3 linked regions of the Arabidopsis thaliana genome follow. The protein of the gene in region 1 purifies or fractionates together with the protein of each later gene. This does not show direct contact. Each region holds a gene or a part of one and is shown in the gene's direction. Other genes may lie near its edges.

Region 1 (4,796 bases):
ATGCAATAGAAAGAACAATTACTGGTGGATGGTTGGAAACTTTTTTTAAAAACTTCAATTGTATTTATAATAAATCGATAAATGTGGAATAAAATTTCATAATCTCATTATAATTGTCTCTTTTTTTTCTTTGTAAAAATTACAAATATGTTGTGAAATGTGGACGGCGAGAAGAATGAATTAATTAAATGTTTTTCTTGATAACCGCGAAAATTAAATGTTTCTGTTTGAAATAAAAAAAATATGAGAAGTCAAAAATTAAATAAGGTGGGGTCTACGGAATCGTAGAGTCGACGACTTTCGTGAGGATGGGGCATTTCGGTCATTGAAGGAGTTACCGACGGAACTGGGTGCTGTAGTGTTTTATTGACTTGTGTCGGTGGATTGGCGATTGAGTGTGGGGCGTATGGTGAGAAAAATGGGGCTTTTGTGTCCTAACGTGTTGTTGTATGGGCCACTCATTTCTCAAGGCCCATCACCTCACCTCATATTGTGCCGGAATGTTGTTTTAACTTTATGACGTGACGTGTGTATTATGAAACTGAAAATAGAGTTCCTCCAACTTTGAATCTATTTTACAATTTTATTATTATTTTTTTTTTTTGTCAAATCATAGAAATTACATGCACAACTATCACGACGATAGAAATTTATAAGCACAATTAGCCAAATAAAAAAATCGAGGAAAAAGTTTCTAAATGTAGGCAATGCCCAAATGTCATAAATAGCCTACTTATTTTGTCAATCTTGTCACTTAGAAACTCGGCACTTGTATAAAAACGTTTCATTCAACTTTTGGTATCACATGTACATTATTCAATTGTGAATTCCTAAATTTATTGTGTGCTGTGATAATTCACCAGATCAACCAGTTTAAAGACCCGTGAACAAAAATGCCCATAACATTTTTTTGTATTGGGTTTCAATCAAGTTAAGGCCCATTTTGGTTTAGTATACGGATTGTGTTGGGCGAAAGGAGTGATGTAATATGTACTTATCAGAAACAAAGTAGGAAGACATCACAGTATCACAACATTGATTTGTGTGCTTCAATCATGCGGTGTACAATTTGCACTTTTCCCACTTCACAAAATTCACACCTTAAATATCAATTTGTGAAAAGTATTGACTTTTAACTTTACCAAATTAAACTCTTTTAGTGAACAATCTTTAACAACCATTTTATTTCACATATCTGATGACTCAATAATTCGTGCAAATTTCAAATGTCCTTGTATATTATCGTGTTTGAATTTCAACTTTTTTTCCAAACATGAAATAACAATCCATGATTTTATTGCTAATATGTCTATCATATATTTAAGTTTACAGACCAATCACAATTTCCTCAATTAGAAAAAACAAACTTACCAATGGAAGGATAGCAGTGTATGTCCATAGGACTCGACACTTCTATACATAGTACTATTTGTATTCAAATTATACATAAAGGAAATAAATCTGTCTATACATGGTTTTAGTACCAAGTTTTTTAATAAGAAAAAAGAAACAATTGATAGTTTGATACATTACCAACTAGGCTAAGATATTTTATTTATTTTTACAGTACAGCGTTAACATTTTTTTTAACGAGAATGAAACGGTGGCTAGAGTTACCTGAGTAAAAAATCTAAAAAATAAGGTAAAAATATCTGATAGCATTCGTAACGAAATCAATTAGTACTAGACAAGAAGATGGTATAAAAATAGAAGAAAAGTAAAAAATGGCACGAGTGAATATGTTCGCACGTGTAAAATAAGCGTCATCATCTTCTCCTCTTCCCAAGTTTCGGCTCTCACTTTCTCTCGTTCTCTCTCTCTCTCTCTATCTCTATCTCTCGATTTGGGGGAGTTCCGTCACGGTGGACTAGTACGTCTCGTTGCCGTTGGTGGCGTAGTCGGAATTAATTTCCTCGGCGTTGAGATTCACATGGTCTAGAATTCTAGCTAAGTGGTTGTTGTTGTTGTTACGATTTCCGATTTCTCGAGTTTTTTTTTTATATTTAGCTTCTGTTTCGTTTATCCCTCCCGGAGACACTCCTTGGTCGAATCTCTCATGCTGAGGTAATTCGTCATGGATTTGTTTAATTGCATAAGCTTTTTTGCAATTGTCTAAGCTTTTATCGGTTTGTTTTGTTTTTTGATTTACGAATCTAGATTTTGCGCTTTCTTATGTATGTAATCAGGATCAAATTTGCTGGGTTGTTAAACAATTTTTGTCTGTGTTAGGATTCTAATTACGCGTGTTACTATACATGAATCATTTTCATTGTTTTTCTTCTTGATCCAAAAGTGTGAGAATCTTACTTTAGGCGTAATTCACATTTTTTGCATTAATTTCAACGGTTACACGTTTTTTTTCTTTGCTTTAGATTTGTTATAATTTGGTTGTTCTAATATTCATAACCTTGGAGTTTTGGTATTACTTCAGGTGTTTTGGACACTTGTTGTCAAGAAGAAACCAGTTTTGGTTCTGATTAATCGTTGGTTGGAAAATATACTCAATTCCAGGCCATGCCTTCACTTCAACTATTGCAGTTAACTGAGCGGGGTCGGGGTCTTGTAGCGTCAAGACGGTAACCATTTCCTTGCTCTTCATTGTATTCTAGATGGAAGTTTTTTTTGTTCGTTTGGGCTCAGATTTCATCTTTCTCTGTTTCATTCTTTAGGAAATCTATACTGCTTGCGGCTGGGATTGTAGCTGCTGGTGGAACTGCTGTTTACCTGAAATCAAGGGTCGCTTCCCGGAGGCCTGATTCTTCGCGTCTTTGCAATGGTCAGAGTGATGATGATGAGACTTTGGAAAAGCTGACTGCAACTGATCAAAATGCAAAGATAACCACGAAAAAGAAGAAAGGAGGAGGATTGAAGTCTCTTCAGGTTCTGACTGCTATTCTTCTCTCTCAGATGGGAAAAATGGGTGCCAGGGATCTTTTGGCACTAGTCGCCACCGTGGTATGCATTTCCTCTTAATTAATAAGTTTTTACTTTTGTTTTATGTTTTTGCCCAAGTCAGATAGATTTTCTGTCTGGTTGTTTAAGTTTGATCTCGTGCTGTTGCAAAGTCCTGTAGATATTCATGGAAATTCACAATTGCGAACCGTTGCTTTATTGTTATGGAATACCGGGTGTCTCTCTTTTTAGCTGAAAGAAACACCAATCTAACTTTACGGCCAATAGTCGGGAAAAGTCTGGTTACTTCTCTTACTTATGCGGGACTAGTACTCTTTCCAATCTGTTATTCTATAACTTGTAGGTTTTCAGAACAGCTTTGAGCAATAGATTGGCAAAAGTGCAAGGTTTCCTTTTCCGTGCTGCTTTCTTAAGGCGTGCGCCACTGTTTCTACGGCTCATCTCCGAGAATATTATGTTGTGTTTCATGCTATCAACATTGCACTCTACTTCAAAGTACATAACTGGGGCATTGAGTTTGCGATTCAGAAAGATATTGACCAAGATTATCCATTCACACTATTTTGAGGTAGCAACTGCCATCTCTTCTGCCATTCAATTGTTTACTATTTCTTTAGATACGAGTGTTTTTGACTAGTGAGAGTATCGAGTATACTTCAGACTGCTGGATATCTCTTCACTCAGTTTTAATTGTTGTTTTCAGAATATGGTATATTACAAAATATCACACGTGGATGGTCGGATTACGCACCCTGAACAAAGAATTGCCAGCGATGTACCAAGATTCTCCTCAGAGTTGAGCGATCTTATACTGGATGATTTGACGGCGGTTACTGATGGAATTTTGTATGCATGGCGCCTGTGTTCATATGCTAGTCCAAAATACATCTTCTGGATACTGGTGATTCATGTTTAATCTTCTATACTTCAAGATTGACCTTATGTTGGGCCATTTATGCTGCTTTTCCTTGTATCCGTTCACAGTACAATTCTTTCGGTCTGGTATCTATAAACTAACCTATACAATTGTTGTGTAGGCCTATGTACTGGGGGCTGGGACGGCGATAAGAAACTTTTCTCCTTCTTTTGGGAAATTGATGTCCAAGGAACAGCAGTTAGAAGGAGAGTACCGGCAACTTCATTCACGCTTAAGGACTCATTCGGAAAGCATAGCATTCTATGGTGGGGAAACCAGGGAAGAATCTCATATACAACAAAAGTTCAAGAATCTTGTTAGCCATATGAGTCACGTGCTTCATGATCACTGGTGGTTTGGTATGATCCAAGATTTTCTGCTGAAGTATCTTGGGGCCACAGTTGCAGTTATTCTGATTATCGAACCATTCTTCTCTGGGCATCTAAGACCTGACGACTCGACCTTAGGAAGAGCTGAGATGCTTAGCAATATAAGATATCACACTAGTGTCATTATATCTCTCTTTCAGGCGTTGGGAACACTTTCTATAAGTTCCAGGCGGCTCAACCGACTCAGGTAATGCTTTATGTTGGATCTCATGTCAGACGCTTAAATGGTGAATACTGTTTAGCTGTTTCTAATTATTGGAATGTTGTTGCTTCCGGCAGTGGTTATGCTGACCGAATCCATGAGTTGATGGCTGTCTCAAGAGAACTCAGTGGTGATGATAAATCGTCTTTCCAGAGAAATAGAAGCAGAAATTATCTAAGTGAAGCTAATTATGTAGAGTTTTCCGATGTCAAGGTAGTTGGAATAGATTCATGTTACTGTAATCCTTTCCAAAATGTCGTGTTCTTAATGTTTCTTAACACACTCTAGGTTGTTACTCCAACCGGAAATGTTTTGGTGGAGGATCTCACCCTTCGAGTTGAGCAAGGGTCTAATCTTCTGATTACAGGTGAACGCT
Region 2 (7,834 bases), on another chromosome or scaffold:
TAAAACAAACAATTTAATTAAACATATTTTTTCTTTTATGTAATCCATTTAAATGTTCAATTGAATCCCAGTAGTCATTTTCCACAAGAACAAGAATTAGAGGACCAAAAGATGATATGCATTCCATGGTGTCTCAAAACAAATGGGCCTTTAGTTATAATGCCCACTTGTCTCTCCTACAATATATGGGCAGCACAGAACATTAGCAAGTGGCCGCTTAACATTAAAAGAAAAAAAACCAACTCAACGACCCCGTTCAACGATTTCATCTTCGTTCTTTAATTTATGAAAATTTACTTAAGATAAACAATTTAGTATAACATTTTTTTTATATTAATTAGGTTTTTTAATTTTGTAAGATCTTGAAATTTATTAGAACAATTTAAGAGTATATATAATGTAGAAACTGGTATGATAATACCCATATGTGACCAAATAAATAAAAATTTGATACCATTTGAACTAAAAACATTACAATTTAACTTATATGGATCTGATATGGAATATGAATACATATAAAAGCAAAAAATCTTAAAGTAATCAACGAGTCAAACTTTAGGTGGCTATATGATCAATATAAAAAAAAGGTAGAAGAAAAAGAAGAAAAAATCTTTTAGAAAAAAATAAAACTTTTAAGTGGCTATGTTTTGAGAGAAATAAATATTCAGCTAAGGAACCATATCTGCCAAATTAATCAAGTTTGACTTAACAATAACATGTGTCCAAAGTAAAACAATAACAATAACCAAAAAAAAAACATCCGCCTAATTACTGCCATAACCCATAAATGATAAAATGAATGACAGATTGTAATCCGTTATGAACAGCTCAATGTCTTCACACTCCTTCTTCTTTATTTATCCATCTTTCTATGCATTTCTGTAAAACCTAAACATTTACATACAAAACTTAATCCACATAAAATATTATAACCATGTCCAAGCGACGCATTTGCTGCATAGTTTCCGGAATCATCTTTGTCCTCTTCGTAATCTTCATGACCGCTTTGATCCTTGCACAAGTGTTCAAACCAAAACATCCGATACTACAAACCGTCTCTTCAACTGTTGATGGCATATCTACAAATATATCACTACCATACGAGGTCCAACTAAATTTCACTCTTACGCTGGAGATGCTGCTCAAGAATCCTAACGTTGCGGATTTTGAATACAAGACAGTGGAAAACTTGGTTTATTACAGGGATACACTAGTCGGAAATCTCACACTTCCTTCGAGCACATTACCTGCCAAAGGTTCAGTGCTTTTGCCATGTCCTCTATTTCTCCAGCTCGATAAATTTGTCGCGAATTTAGGTGATATCGTGCAAGATGTATTGCATGGAAAAATTGTGATGGAGACAAGAGCAAAAATGCCAGGAAAAATCACTTTGTTGGGAATCTTTAAGATACCTTTGGATTCAATATCGCATTGCAATCTCGTACTCGGCTTTCCTTCAATGGTAGTGGAGGACCAAGTGTGTGATCTCAAAACTAAGCTGTAAATAGTTTTTTCAGGTAAACATTTAGGCTTAAGAGAGCAGTTTAATTCTAGCTAGTTTCCTGTAATAATAAAGATTGTAGTGCTCTTGATCGCTGTTCTTTAATCAACTCCATTTTTGTGAGTTCTTGAAATTAAATGTATTCCTTTGAATTTGAAATAATGAATTTGATTCAAAAATCTGAATTATTTTATTTTTACCTCCATTTGAAAAAAGGAAAAATAGTGTATTATTATTATTATTATTTTATGACAAATAATTTGGAGAAGACTTGAAAACACGAAATCAACGGATAGCGACATCATGAAACAGAGTTAGAAAAGCGTGCCTCCTTTTTTTAGTATCTATCTTTCTCTCTTTCGGATCATTCTCTCCTCTGATTCCGAATCGGGTAAATTATTATGGATTCTTCTTCTTCGTCTTCCTCCGCCGCCGCACGCCGCCGTATCAACGCTATCCACTCTCACCTCGTCACCTCTTCTCGCTCTTCCCCTCTCCTCCGCTCCAATCCCACCGCCGGCGAGTTCTGTCTTGGTCCGTATTTCCTCATCTCTCTCTCTGATCTATACTAGTAGCTTCCTCTCGCTGCTGATTACTTGTCTTCTGATCGCAATCAGATAATGGCTATAGTGTTGTTCTTCCCGAGAAACTGAATACTGGCAGTTGGAACGTCTACAGGTTCCTTACGCTTCCTCTTCTTCTCTCCTTGTCTCCATTCCCTCTCTTAATATTTGTTTTTGTTTTGAATTCAATTTTTCAGATCTGCAAAATCTCCGTTCAAGCTCGTTAGCAGATTCCCAGATCATCCTGACATCGCTACTCTCCATGACAATTTTGAGTATGAATCAGAGTCTCCCGAAAGCTGATCATCTCTTCTATATCAATTCTTTAGTCATCTCTCTGATTGATACTGTTCTTGGGGTCTATGTAGGCATGCTGTTCATGATTTTCGAGATTACAAGTATTTAGGAACTCGTGTTCGTGTCGACGGAACTGTTGGAGAGTGAGCTCCTAACTTACTCAATCTATGTGTATCTGCAAGAAAGTACTTTCCTTGAAGCTAGTTTTCTTATGTGACTCTGTTTTGTTTTTTTCAGCTACAAATGGATGACATATGGAGAAGCTGGTACAGCAAGAACTGCTTTAGGTTCTGGTTTGGTTCATCACGGAATCCCCATGGTAAATTATTGGATTCTTACTCTCCTTCCTGATTGATTTTTAAGTTTGCAGCTAGACTCAAGTCTCTGTTTTTCTTCTACCAGGGATCTTCTGTTGGAATTTACTTCATCAATCGCCCAGAGTGGCTCATTGTTGATCATGCTTGTTCTTCTTATTCTTATGTGTCTGTTCCTTTGTATGATACTCTTGGTAAGTATCTGGTTGGTTCGGCGTATTATTTCCATTTCACAATTCGTGGGGTGTTCTAATTCTGCTCTTTGTTTTTGCTCAAGGTCCTGATGCTGTGAAATTTATTGTCAATCATGCAACTGTGCAAGCCATATTTTGTGTGGCAGAGACTTTAAACTCTGTAAGTTCTGTCAATCTCCTGCTTTAATTTCCTTCTCTTTTTTAAAAAATTGCTTACTTGGATGATAGTGAGAAAAAAAAAACAACAACCTTTTTTAGCCCTTACTCAAATGATGTGTATGTTGCTGACTGTTTTCTTTAAGTGCTTGTACTTTTGCTTAATAATCGTTTTTCTGATTTCTTTTTGCTTGCTTTCCTGCTTGATTTACTGCTGGAGATTTCAGTTACTTAGCTGTTTGTCTGAGATGCCAAGTGTACGCCTGGTGGTGGTATGAAGAAAACTCATCTTTTGTTATTCTTTTGAGGATTATGACTACAGTTTCCAAATTAATTTTGTCTTCTCTCTGTTCGTGATACTTCTCATGACCAAGTAGGTTGTTGGAGGGTTAATTGAATCTTTACCCTCGCTTCCCTCATCATCAGGAGTGAAAGTTGTATCCTATTCGGTGTTACTGAATCAGGTACTTGTATGATTTTGTAATTCAATATCCGTTTTCTGAATATAAACAGGATTAAGGACATTCTATCATTTAAGATATTGCAAGTTCTTACCAGTGCTATTATGAGTCTTATCCTGTTTATTACCAACCTAGGGTTCATCAACATTTATACATAACTGGGTACATATTAGTCATATATACACAAGTGTACTTCCACATCATTACGCTTTTACCTATAACTCAATTTTTTTTTTTTATATCAGGACTACTTCTACACCTTTCCCATATATCCATAATAGTTTTCTCATTGAGATAATATAGTCACCCAGTATCTTTCTCGCTGATAGCAGCACAGTTGTGGTGGTACATGTTGGTTTCATTGTTTTCTGACCAACAAATTTGTTTCAGGGTCGTAGTAACCCTCAGCGATTTTTTCCACCAAAACCCGATGATGTTGCAACCATATGCTATACAAGCGGAACAACTGGGACACCCAAGGTTTTACTTACTTGAAATGTTATCTTCATTTAGGGTAGTACTGTTCTTTATTTCATATTTACCCTGACTATAGCATCTAACTTACTGTTTATTTTATCCTGTATCCCTCATTCCTCCCTTGCCTGCTCTTCTTCTGGATGAAATATGTTAAAGGGAGTCGTATTAACTCATGCAAACTTGATTGCCAATGTTGCTGGCTCCAGCTTTAGTGTGAAGTTTTTCTCTTCAGATGTGTAAGCGCTTTACTTCTTTCTACTAATGGTTAAACATTTTCTGTGTTCTTCTTTGTATCTATTGCTACATGTATCTTAATTCTTAAAATTTCCATTCTTAAGTGGTCTTTGTTTCAGATAGACTATAAGTAACTAATTTTGTCAAAATTTCTTCTACTTTCCAGTTACATTTCGTATCTTCCACTTGCTCACATTTACGAACGAGCTAATCAGATCCTAACAGTGTACTTTGGAGTTGCTGTTGGATTCTACCAAGGGGTTAGAAACTGAACCTTCTCCTTTTAGGTTGCATTAAGTAACCATCATAGACCTATACACCTGTGATCTGGTCTTTGCTTATACTCTTCCTTCACTCTCAAACCATTTTCTATTGATTTGATTGGACGAACCACTTGCAAATTTTTCTGCAGGACAATATGAAACTACTGGATGATTTGGCTGCTCTGAGACCTACTGTATTTAGCAGTGTCCCTCGATTATACAATAGAATATATGCTGGGTAATATAATGGCTTTGGTTTGTTGATATGCGCTCTCTGCTGATTTTGAGAATCCACTGAATTAATGTAAAATTCTTGTTCCCAGTATCATTAATGCAGTAAAAACCTCTGGTGGTCTGAAAGAGAGACTCTTCAATGCTGCCTATAATGCAAAGAAGCAGGCTCTCTTGAATGGTATGTCCTGTCATACTTATTTACATTAAAATCAGTCTATGCAATTCTGTAGCTTTATTTTGTAATTTCTGACACAGATAAGGACTTTGATTACTGTCGAGTTCTAAGAGATGATAAAAAGTAAAAGATCCTTTATACAGTTTTTGGGTTTGATTTCCTTTGTATGGGTACTGTTGGTTCAGGAAAGAGTGCTTCTCCCATATGGGACAGGTTGGTATTTAATAAAATAAAGGACAGACTTGGAGGGCGGGTTCGTTTTATGACGTCTGGTGCTTCACCTCTCTCTCCTGAAGTGATGGAATTTTTGAAAGTGTAAGTTTATTGCTATTGAAATATTGTGTTCTGTCATATTATACAATAGACTTCATCCTCAAGAATGAACACTTTTCAGTCCCCACCAATCCCTCTCTCTCACTAGCTCATGCATAATTACAGTAGCTTTGGTTCCACATAACTTTTGTACATTAGCTTGTGATTTTCTTTTCCCTCTTGATTTAATCTTGTCATATGAATACTCCAGATGCTTTGGAGGAAGGGTAACAGAGGGATATGGAATGACTGAAACATCTTGTGTTATAAGTGGAATGGACGAGGGTGATAACCTCACTGGACATGTTGGCTCTCCTAATCCAGCTTGTGGTGAGCTTTTTACTGACTCTGCGATATGATAAGTAGAGTAATTTGGAACTAAATATCCATTTTAAATTGCTTTGGGATTTAATATGCATTTCTATATTTCAGAAGTAAAGCTTGTGGATGTCCCAGAAATGAACTATACATCAGCGGATCAGCCCCATCCCCGTGGCGAAATATGTGTTAGGGGTCCTATCATTTTTACAGGCTATTACAAAGATGAAATTCAAACGTATAAACACCTACTGCATTGGAAATTCCTCTTTCACTAACCAAAGTGTACCAAAAGTTTAATTATTTCAGTAAAACGTATTATTTTCAGGAAAGAGGTGATTGATGAAGATGGATGGCTTCACACTGGAGATATAGGTCTGTGGCTGCCGGGAGGACGTCTAAAAATTATTGACAGGTTTTCCAAAAAATCACTTGATTGTTATCAGCTGTTTCTTCACTAAAATCAAATCTCTTGGCTCACAAAGAATAAGCCTACTTCTTACTGATGATACAAACACTAAGAAATAACATCTGCAAAAGTCTAGGGAGTGCAAAGCTCTAGTCTTGGGTTACATTTTGGGGACTTGTTGGTATCTTTTGAATCGCGAATCATCTGAGTGAAATTTTCTGATCCTTTGAATAGAAAGAAGAACATCTTCAAATTGGCGCAGGGGGAGTATATAGCTCCAGAGAAAATTGAAAACGTCTATGCCAAATGCAAATTTGTGGGCCAGTGCTTCATATATGGTATAGTAAACAATTATAGTAAATTGTTTTGTATAACATTTTGCTTTATCCTTTCCCCATCTCACCTGTTACCAATTTTCAGGTGATAGCTTTAATTCATCATTGGTAGCTGTTGTATCGGTTGATCCAGATGTGCTGAAAAGCTGGGCAGCTTCAGAAGGCATTAAGGTGATATAACTTACGTCACCAAATTCTCTAAATGTAACATTAAAAAACTAACTTTATACCACTTTGCTGAATGTAGGGAGGAGATCTGAGAGAATTGTGTAATAATCCGAGAGTGAAAGCAGCAGTACTATCTGACATGGACACTGTTGGAAGAGAAGCTCAGGCAATACATCTCAGAAAACAATTTTCTGTATATCAGTTAGTTACTATTCTCAAAAACATGATGATTGATTTGGATGATAAAAATGTTTGGTGCAGTTGAGAGGCTTCGAGTTTGCAAAGGCTGTGACATTGGTGCTGGAACCATTTACTCTGGAAAATGGCTTGTTGACTCCGACGTTCAAGGTAAATTTCTTATATGAATATACTTCACTCAAACTAGCTTCAAAAGGTAAATTCTATCTTAGTTAGTGGAAAGGTTTGTTCGACATGGTATATGTTCAGATCGATTTACTCAAATTGAAAATGCCTAGTTCCTACTCCTATAATTAGTGTGGTTTAGTAAACATCATGCTGTCTCTCTTTTAAAATCGGTAAAAAAAGCATATCTGGATTGGATGTGGGATAATTAGCAAAACCAATTGTGAAAATGGATTGAGGCAAATGGATTTGATTGAATATTGCAGATTAAGAGACCACAAGCAAAGGAATATTTCGCAGAAGCAATAACAAACATGTACAAGGAGCTTGGTGCTTCTGATCCCTCTGCTAATAGAGGTTTGTGATGATGGTATAATCGTGTGATTAATAAAAAGCCTACGCAAAAGTTGTTTCTCCCACAAATTGTATTCTTTTTTGTTTTCTTGCTACATATTTATTGAATAGTAAAGGTAATAAAGGTGCTACATTACATTAATGAAACTTTCTTACAGTACAATGTTTTCCCTCTGTAATAAAAAGGCAAAACATTCCCAATTCTGTTTTATTGCGGATTCTTCGGCCTACCACGAAACGACGATCTCTGTCCGTACGCTGAGATCTATATGACAATATCTTTATGTTCGTATCCAAAACCCGAAACTACACATCCAAATAGATTATGTGCTTTGGATAAAAACCCAATCGTAAATGTTTAAAAGTATTCGATTTTGGAGTTTTTTCGGTTTAGGTATTGGAACAATCAACTTTAAAGGAACTATAGTCTGCGTAGCTTTAGTTCAGTAATATTTTAGCTTGGTCTTGATTTTACATATGTATTAATGTATAATTAGGTAAATCCGACTTTTGTTCCAAAAAAAAAAAAAAAAGCTAAATCCGACCATGTCTAGATTAAAAAATAATACGAAAAGGTTAAAAGAAAGGCAAAATATCAAATTTCATAGAGAAATATAAAAAGATGTGATATGATTGAATCATTTTCTGAAATATATCTTTCGTAAAATCTGCTTTTATAATACAAAAATTAATTTTATATATTTAA
Region 3 (6,874 bases), on another chromosome or scaffold:
AACTTCATTACTTACACGATAATGCTTATCTTGGCTCCAAACTTCGTAAATAAACAAGATCAACACTTCTTGAGCATCAATGTTTGTTCGCAATTAATGTTTGTTCCTGGGTTCATCTTTAACTCAACAATTATTATCAATAATTTTATAATATTATAACATGTAATAATGATTTTGTATTAATTATAACAAGAGTCACGTCTAAACTTTTTGGGCATTAAATGTTGATGTCATTTCGTTTTTAATGGAAAAAATATCCCTTATAACCTATGTTGCATGGAAACGGAAACGGAAACGGAAACGCGGATACGAAACGTTTCGGAAACAGGAAACAATTTTTTCTTAAAATTAGGGATTGGAAACGTTTTGGAAACGTATACACATTTATACATATATATATATATAAATAACATTATATATATATATATAACATTATATATATATATATAACATTATATATATATATATATAACATTAACATAAAACTATATTAAAGAAAAAATGGTTTAAATAATACAAGTCCAAAATATCAATATTAAATAAATAAACTAAAATTCTAAAAGATAAAAATTAAAAGGTTCAAGTTCAAATAGTTAATTTAGACCAACATTTTCATTAGTTTTATCAAAGATAATATAAACCTCTTTTCAAATCTGGTTTAACAAAAAAAGATCTTAAAACTCAAAGTCTTCCAAAATTAGTTATATGTATTAATAATTTTAATATTTTCAATTTTAGTTATTAAATTTTTAAAGTCAATAAAAAAAATTTGTCGTATGTCTATTTCGGAAACGTGAGTTTCTATTTTGGAAACGTAAGTTTCCATCGTGTTTTCAAACCTAGATTTTTAGGAAACGTGTTTCCGTGATGTTTTTCGTGTTTCCGGAGAGTTTCCGTTTCCGAAACGTTTCGGAAACGAGAAACGCACCTCAGAGCGAGTTTCCATGCAACCTAGCTTATAACTGTACAGTCGTACTCCTCAACGTGAAACAAAAATAATTCCAATTAAACCGGAACAGTATACCTAACTAAACCTGACTAACTAAACCGTACATTCAACAGTTTCTCTGCTGTAGCAGCAAGGGCAAAATGATCAAATTTCAGCTGAAAAGACAAAACGTGAAAACCACCTTTCACTTTGTCAGTCCTTAAAAATAAAACATGATCAAAGGGTGTGGCCTGCAAATTACCCTAAAATTAAAAGCATACAAGTTCTGTAACCAAGGTTGGCACAATGTATTCTCTTGTGTTACTTAAACTATGATGGAGATCTTTCCGTTTGCCTAGTTTTTGAGAATTTGGTTCATCTTCTGTGTTGCAGCCGAACTTAACTGGGAACTTAAACAGCATAACCAGTCTACATTGGTACTTAAAGATTCAGGTTATTGCTTCTGGCAATGCCAAAAACAACAGGTTTCATGGTCTACAATAATAACCAACATGAACATTTGTTGGTAAAAGATCAAATAATAATTTTATTGAAAAAAATGGTAAATTATCCACATAGGGAAGTGTGCCTTATTTTGACGTAAGCAAAATACATGTGAGAAACAAAAGTACATTACTTTAGTGAAATGAGGCGTTTTTGGTGAGGTGTTAAAAAAAAAATGGAAAACATGATTAACGCCTATCCAAAATATGTTGTTTATGGAATTTTATAGCCGTAGCATCACACAATAGTTTTACATATTTATGCTCATTTTCATAATTCAAAGATTTTATTCCTTTTCTTCTATAGTAGATTTGTGAGCTAAAAAATTGTTTTCAATTGACTTTTCATAATTTTATTACTATACTAGTAGATTTGTGACGTCATTGTTTTAAAGTTGAATTTTTATAAAATGGTAATTAATCGGTTTATTTCGTATATTCCTGAAGACATTTTTTCTGAAGAAAGAAGAAAAGATGGAATTTGCTTCGCCGGAACAACGTCGTCTCGAAACCATTCGATCTCACATCGATACTTCTCCGACCAACGATCAATCATCATCTCTATTCCTCAACGCCACCGCTTCTTCTGCTTCACCTTTCTTTAAAGGTAAAGCACCTGAAAATTACCTGAAAGTTAGTCTCTCCATAATTTGAAATTTTCTCTGTTTCTTGAGTTTTTAAGAGCTTTGGATTGTTTTCTCTAGAGGATAGCTACAGTGTTGTGCTTCCAGAAAAGCTTGATACTGGAAAATGGAATGTCTACAGGTTTTTAAAAAACCAGTCCTTTCTTTGTTGTTACGTTTGGTTTTTTGATAAGTGTGTGTGATTATGAATCTCTGTTTTTTTTTGGCTGTGACAGATCTAAAAGATCGCCTACGAAACTCGTTAGTAGGTTCCCGGATCATCCTGAAATCGGGACTTTACATGACAATTTTGTGTATGTTTTGATGATTACTTCTTTTGAGGTTGTTTTAAATTGATTGGCTTTAGTTTGTGACTGGCATTACGTTTTTGTGGAATCAGACATGCTGTTGAAACATATGCTGAAAACAAGTATCTTGGTACACGAGTTCGGTCCGATGGAACCATTGGAGAGTGAGTTTTAAAGCTGTTCTTTTGCTTTGAGATTTTCGCTATGGAGTTTTGAGCTGAGGTAGGTTTTTATGTTTCTGTGATATGTTTTTATGAAGGTATTCATGGATGACATATGGAGAAGCAGCGTCTGAGCGACAAGCCATTGGTTCAGGACTCTTGTTTCATGGAGTTAACCAAGTATGTTTCACTCTACTTTGAATGTAAAACTTATGCAGCTATGGTTCTTGTAAAGAAAAAGTTTCTTCATTTAATGGAACAGGGAGATTGCGTTGGACTCTATTTTATTAACAGACCAGAGTGGTTGGTTGTGGATCATGCTTGTGCAGCATATTCATTTGTCTCTGTTCCTTTATATGATACACTTGGTAACCAATCTAAATTTGATTTTTTCTCTTTAGTTTTCGAGTTTTGCAAGCCTTGTCTCTTCTTAATATGATTCTTCTGGTTACGCAGGTCCAGACGCTGTTAAGTTTGTGGTGAATCATGCTAATCTGCAAGCTATATTTTGTGTACCACAAACCTTGAATATTGTAAGTGTGTTTTGGTTTGTTAAAGTGCTAGCTATTATCTTCTGAGAATCAGTTCAAGTATAGTCTAAATTGCAACACTTTCGATCATGAATTGTGTTTGTCTTTTTTTGTTGGGAACTTTGCAGTTGCTAAGCTTCCTAGCGGAAATCCCATCCATTCGTCTCATTGTGGTATGTACTTCTCCAATATGTAATTTCACTGTAAGCTAAAATATATACTCCCACTTATAAATATGTTTTGCACTGTGATTAGGTGGTGGGAGGGGCTGATGAGCATTTGCCATCACTTCCTCGAGGAACTGGAGTCACAATTGTATCATACCAAAAGCTATTGAGTCAGGTAGCCTTTTACAATGGGTTTTAACTAAAGTACTAAACATGTGTTGTTATCTTGGTGAATGATGTCTCTGTTCCTGTAATGAGTTTTGCTTGGTAGTGAAAGAGACTTCATGTTGCCACCGGTTATCTTGTAGGGTCGAAGTAGCTTACATCCATTTTCGCCTCCAAAGCCAGAAGACATTGCAACCATATGCTACACAAGTGGAACCACAGGAACACCAAAGGTGAGTTTCTTCTGGTTGAAATGGTGCATAAATCACTTTAAAGCTAAATACTCAACTATATAGTTGATTTCATATGTTCTTTGTTTCCAAGGGTGTTGTGTTGACTCATGGAAACTTGATCGCGAATGTCGCTGGTTCCAGTGTGGAAGCAGAATTCTTTCCTTCAGATGTGTGAGTTGAACATTTCCCTTCAGAAGTGGCACACATAGTTTTAATGGAAGAGTCTTTGACTCAGATGTCTTCTATTTATAGTTACATATCATATCTTCCTTTGGCGCACATATATGAACGTGCAAATCAGATTATGGGGGTGTATGGTGGTGTTGCTGTCGGTTTCTATCAGGGGGTATGTAAGCTCATGTCTTGTGACATATGAGATTAACTTGTTTTACGAAATCAGACTAATGTATATATATATATACTTCTTTGACAGGATGTCTTCAAGCTGATGGATGATTTTGCTGTGTTAAGACCAACAATATTCTGTAGTGTCCCTCGCTTATATAATCGAATATATGATGGGTAAAATCACTTTATACTTCCCATGTCAAGTACGTATTGTGGAACTATGTGGTTTCTATGTGCTGACTTTAATCTCCACAGCATTACAAGTGCCGTAAAATCATCTGGGGTTGTGAAAAAAAGGCTTTTCGAAATTGCCTATAACTCAAAGAAGCAAGCGATCATTAATGGTACTAATAGAAACAGTTAGAAAAGTGAACTAAGTAGTATACGTGTTTCAAGCTTTCTGCATTATATCTGTCTTTCTCATTTTGGTTTCTTCAGGGCGGACTCCTTCTGCATTTTGGGACAAGCTGGTGTTCAACAAAATAAAAGAAAAGCTTGGTGGACGGGTTCGGTTTATGGGGTCTGGTGCTTCTCCTTTGTCACCTGATGTCATGGATTTCTTGAGAATGTAAGTTTTCTTTTCGGTTTGCTATGTTTGAACTTTTCTTCTGTGATTCCACTCTCACTGATTTCTAAGAATCTGAAACTAAACTAACAAAGAATATATGGTCTTTGATCATCGTGATGAACAGATGCTTTGGATGTTCGGTGCGTGAAGGGTATGGTATGACCGAGACTTCTTGTGTCATAAGTGCTATGGATGATGGTGACAATTTATCTGGCCATGTCGGTTCCCCTAATCCAGCTTGCGGTAAGCAATGTGTTATTTTAAAGACAGTGTATATATCAGAATCCAAACTTTTGTATCCAAATTGTATGACTGGTTTTTGTGTTTTGAAAATGTTTTTTCTTTCTTAGAGGTAAAACTTGTGGATGTTCCCGAAATGAATTACACATCAGACGATCAACCATACCCACGTGGTGAAATCTGTGTAAGAGGACCAATCATCTTCAAAGGCTACTACAAAGATGAAGAACAAACGTAACACATTTTCCAGTATCATTAGTGGCTCTAGTTATATGTATAGATAAGTGGACATGAGTCTTGACACATTTACTTGAGCAGGAGAGAAATTCTTGATGGAGATGGCTGGCTACACACAGGAGATATCGGGTTGTGGTTACCTGGTGGTCGGCTCAAGATCATAGACAGGTTTTATAAATCAAAACATTCTTGTTATTTCTTTCTTTGCGGAAGAAAAAGTTGAAATGTTTGTTAAAACTTCAATGTGCATGACAGGAAGAAGAACATATTTAAGTTGGCGCAAGGAGAATATATAGCACCAGAGAAGATCGAAAATGTTTATACCAAATGTAGATTCGTTTCGCAGTGTTTCATTCACGGTAAGCAAAGACTCTACTCACACTATACATGGCTTCTTCTTCACTTGTGCTATTTCTCAACCGAGCCAGAATGTCTCTATTATAGGTGATAGCTTCAATTCCTCTCTAGTAGCTATAGTTTCAGTCGACCCCGAAGTTATGAAAGATTGGGCTGCATCAGAAGGCATCAAGGTATTATCTTCTAACTCAATGATATCATCACTTATTAGAGACTTTAAAAGCAATTTATCAATGTGTTGCAAACTTTTCTTGATGATTGTAGTATGAGCATCTAGGACAGCTCTGTAACGATCCAAGAGTGCGAAAGACTGTTCTTGCTGAGATGGATGACCTTGGAAGAGAAGCTCAGGTAAAAAAAAAAAAACCTGCCTTAATAATCTAAAATGGGATTAGAAAACCAAGCAACTCAACAAATTTACAATTTGTGCTTAATACAGTTGAGAGGGTTTGAGTTTGCAAAGGCTGTGACTTTGGTGCCAGAACCATTCACCTTGGAGAATGGACTTCTCACACCAACATTCAAGGTAACTAAACAACAATGTGAAGTTGAAACCGCAATGAAATTTTTGTTACTTACCTCGGAATCTCTAATTCATGTGTGGTAAAACTTTTCTAACAGATAAAGAGACCTCAAGCAAAAGCCTACTTTGCAGAAGCAATTAGCAAAATGTATGCGGAAATCGCAGCCTCGAACCCCATTCCTTCTAAACTGTGATGCTTTTTGCTTTGCTTAAAAGTGTTTCTTTTTTTTTGTATTACAAAGGTAATTGTAGAACTGTTAAAAGATCGGATTAGGATGAGGTAGATCGATCATTTGAAATAAAACAGATTCATGGTGTAATTTTCTTTGATACTGTTTTCCAGAATAAAGGAAGCAGACTATGTCCTAATCCTGAAATGGATGATGAGTGTGGTCATAAGTTTGAGAAACCAGTGCATGTCCGTACAGTTTGGTTTAGTTTTGCTTTGGCTAACGCTAGTGTTGAAATAGTAAGCCTTATTAGAATAGGGAGAACAGCCTATTCCACCCTGAACCATGTTGCTTTATCGTTTTCATATACCGAACTTTTTATGTGCTTATAACTACATGAACTTGGATTTAATTTGAATTTACAACACAAACTATGAAAATTCGGTAGAAAACCTCAAATTGCTAGACGGTGTTACTGTTCCGTTAACAGCTGACTAGGATGATATATTTATAATTTAAAATACCACGTAATTATGTAGTTTCATTTAAACTAAAAACATTTGACACAAAATAATGCCAAGTCCGGATCGAACTCATGACCATTAGACCATGTACATGGGTGGTATTTCTAGAAAATCACAAGTCCAAAAATTATTTTTATATTGACAAAACAATTAGAATGAGCTTGATCAGTATCAGCCCAGTGATATTTATGATACCAATATCATCTGACGCGGCTTCTCCTGATTGGTTACATTTGTCAAAAGCAAAAAAAAAAATATATATTTATTAAACAAACATTATAAATCATAT

The links.
Region 2: the proteins of ABCD1 (region 1) and LACS6 purify together in Arabidopsis thaliana (affinity purification with western blotting, with the first as the bait; one study listed by BioGRID). This does not show direct contact.
Region 3: the proteins of ABCD1 (region 1) and LACS7 purify together in Arabidopsis thaliana (affinity purification with western blotting, with the first as the bait; one study listed by BioGRID). This does not show direct contact.

Annotation. Positions count from the first base shown.
Region 1 is NC_003075.7:18,486,706-18,491,501, forward strand, and holds the start of ABCD1 (peroxisomal ABC transporter 1), read left to right. Parts: upstream 1-1,728; 5' UTR 1,729-2,064; exon of another isoform or gene 2,065-2,431; 5' UTR 2,432-2,514; coding exon 2,515-2,576; intron 2,577-2,669; coding exon 2,670-2,955; intron 2,956-3,256; coding exon 3,257-3,481; intron 3,482-3,616; coding exon 3,617-3,814; intron 3,815-3,950; coding exon 3,951-4,405; intron 4,406-4,497; coding exon 4,498-4,633; intron 4,634-4,708; coding exon 4,709-4,787; intron 4,788-4,796. UniProt on the Arabidopsis thaliana protein: Contributes to the transport of fatty acids and their derivatives (acyl CoAs) across the peroxisomal membrane. Provides acetate to the glyoxylate cycle in developing seedlings.
Region 2 is NC_003074.8:1,785,815-1,793,648, reverse strand, and holds LACS6 (long-chain acyl-CoA synthetase 6), read left to right. Parts: upstream 1-1,761; 5' UTR 1,762-1,902; coding exon 1,903-2,035; intron 2,036-2,118; coding exon 2,119-2,179; intron 2,180-2,261; coding exon 2,262-2,339; intron 2,340-2,432; coding exon 2,433-2,504; intron 2,505-2,598; coding exon 2,599-2,680; intron 2,681-2,763; coding exon 2,764-2,869; intron 2,870-2,952; coding exon 2,953-3,029; intron 3,030-3,252; coding exon 3,253-3,297; intron 3,298-3,402; coding exon 3,403-3,489; intron 3,490-3,876; coding exon 3,877-3,966; intron 3,967-4,119; coding exon 4,120-4,199; intron 4,200-4,363; coding exon 4,364-4,457; intron 4,458-4,609; coding exon 4,610-4,698; intron 4,699-4,783; coding exon 4,784-4,872; intron 4,873-5,054; coding exon 5,055-5,184; intron 5,185-5,392; coding exon 5,393-5,511; intron 5,512-5,613; coding exon 5,614-5,737; intron 5,738-5,827; coding exon 5,828-5,914; intron 5,915-6,142; coding exon 6,143-6,246; intron 6,247-6,328; and 9 more. Other genes in the region: AT3G05975 (Late embryogenesis abundant (LEA) hydroxyproline-rich glycoprotein family), read left to right, coding at 935-1,504. UniProt on the Arabidopsis thaliana protein: Activation of long-chain fatty acids for both synthesis of cellular lipids, and degradation via beta-oxidation. Preferentially uses palmitate, palmitoleate, oleate, linoleate and eicosenoate as substrates. Can use myristate and linolenate as substrates.
Region 3 is NC_003076.8:9,740,711-9,747,584, forward strand, and holds LACS7 (long-chain acyl-CoA synthetase 7), read left to right. Parts: upstream 1-1,781; 5' UTR 1,782-1,905; coding exon 1,906-2,038; intron 2,039-2,135; coding exon 2,136-2,196; intron 2,197-2,290; coding exon 2,291-2,368; intron 2,369-2,454; coding exon 2,455-2,526; intron 2,527-2,621; coding exon 2,622-2,703; intron 2,704-2,785; coding exon 2,786-2,891; intron 2,892-2,979; coding exon 2,980-3,056; intron 3,057-3,181; coding exon 3,182-3,226; intron 3,227-3,308; coding exon 3,309-3,395; intron 3,396-3,528; coding exon 3,529-3,618; intron 3,619-3,709; coding exon 3,710-3,789; intron 3,790-3,870; coding exon 3,871-3,964; intron 3,965-4,051; coding exon 4,052-4,140; intron 4,141-4,221; coding exon 4,222-4,310; intron 4,311-4,404; coding exon 4,405-4,534; intron 4,535-4,658; coding exon 4,659-4,777; intron 4,778-4,884; coding exon 4,885-5,008; intron 5,009-5,092; coding exon 5,093-5,179; intron 5,180-5,266; coding exon 5,267-5,370; intron 5,371-5,455; and 9 more. UniProt on the Arabidopsis thaliana protein: Activation of long-chain fatty acids for both synthesis of cellular lipids, and degradation via beta-oxidation. Preferentially uses palmitate, palmitoleate, oleate, linoleate and eicosenoate as substrates. Can use myristate and linolenate as substrates.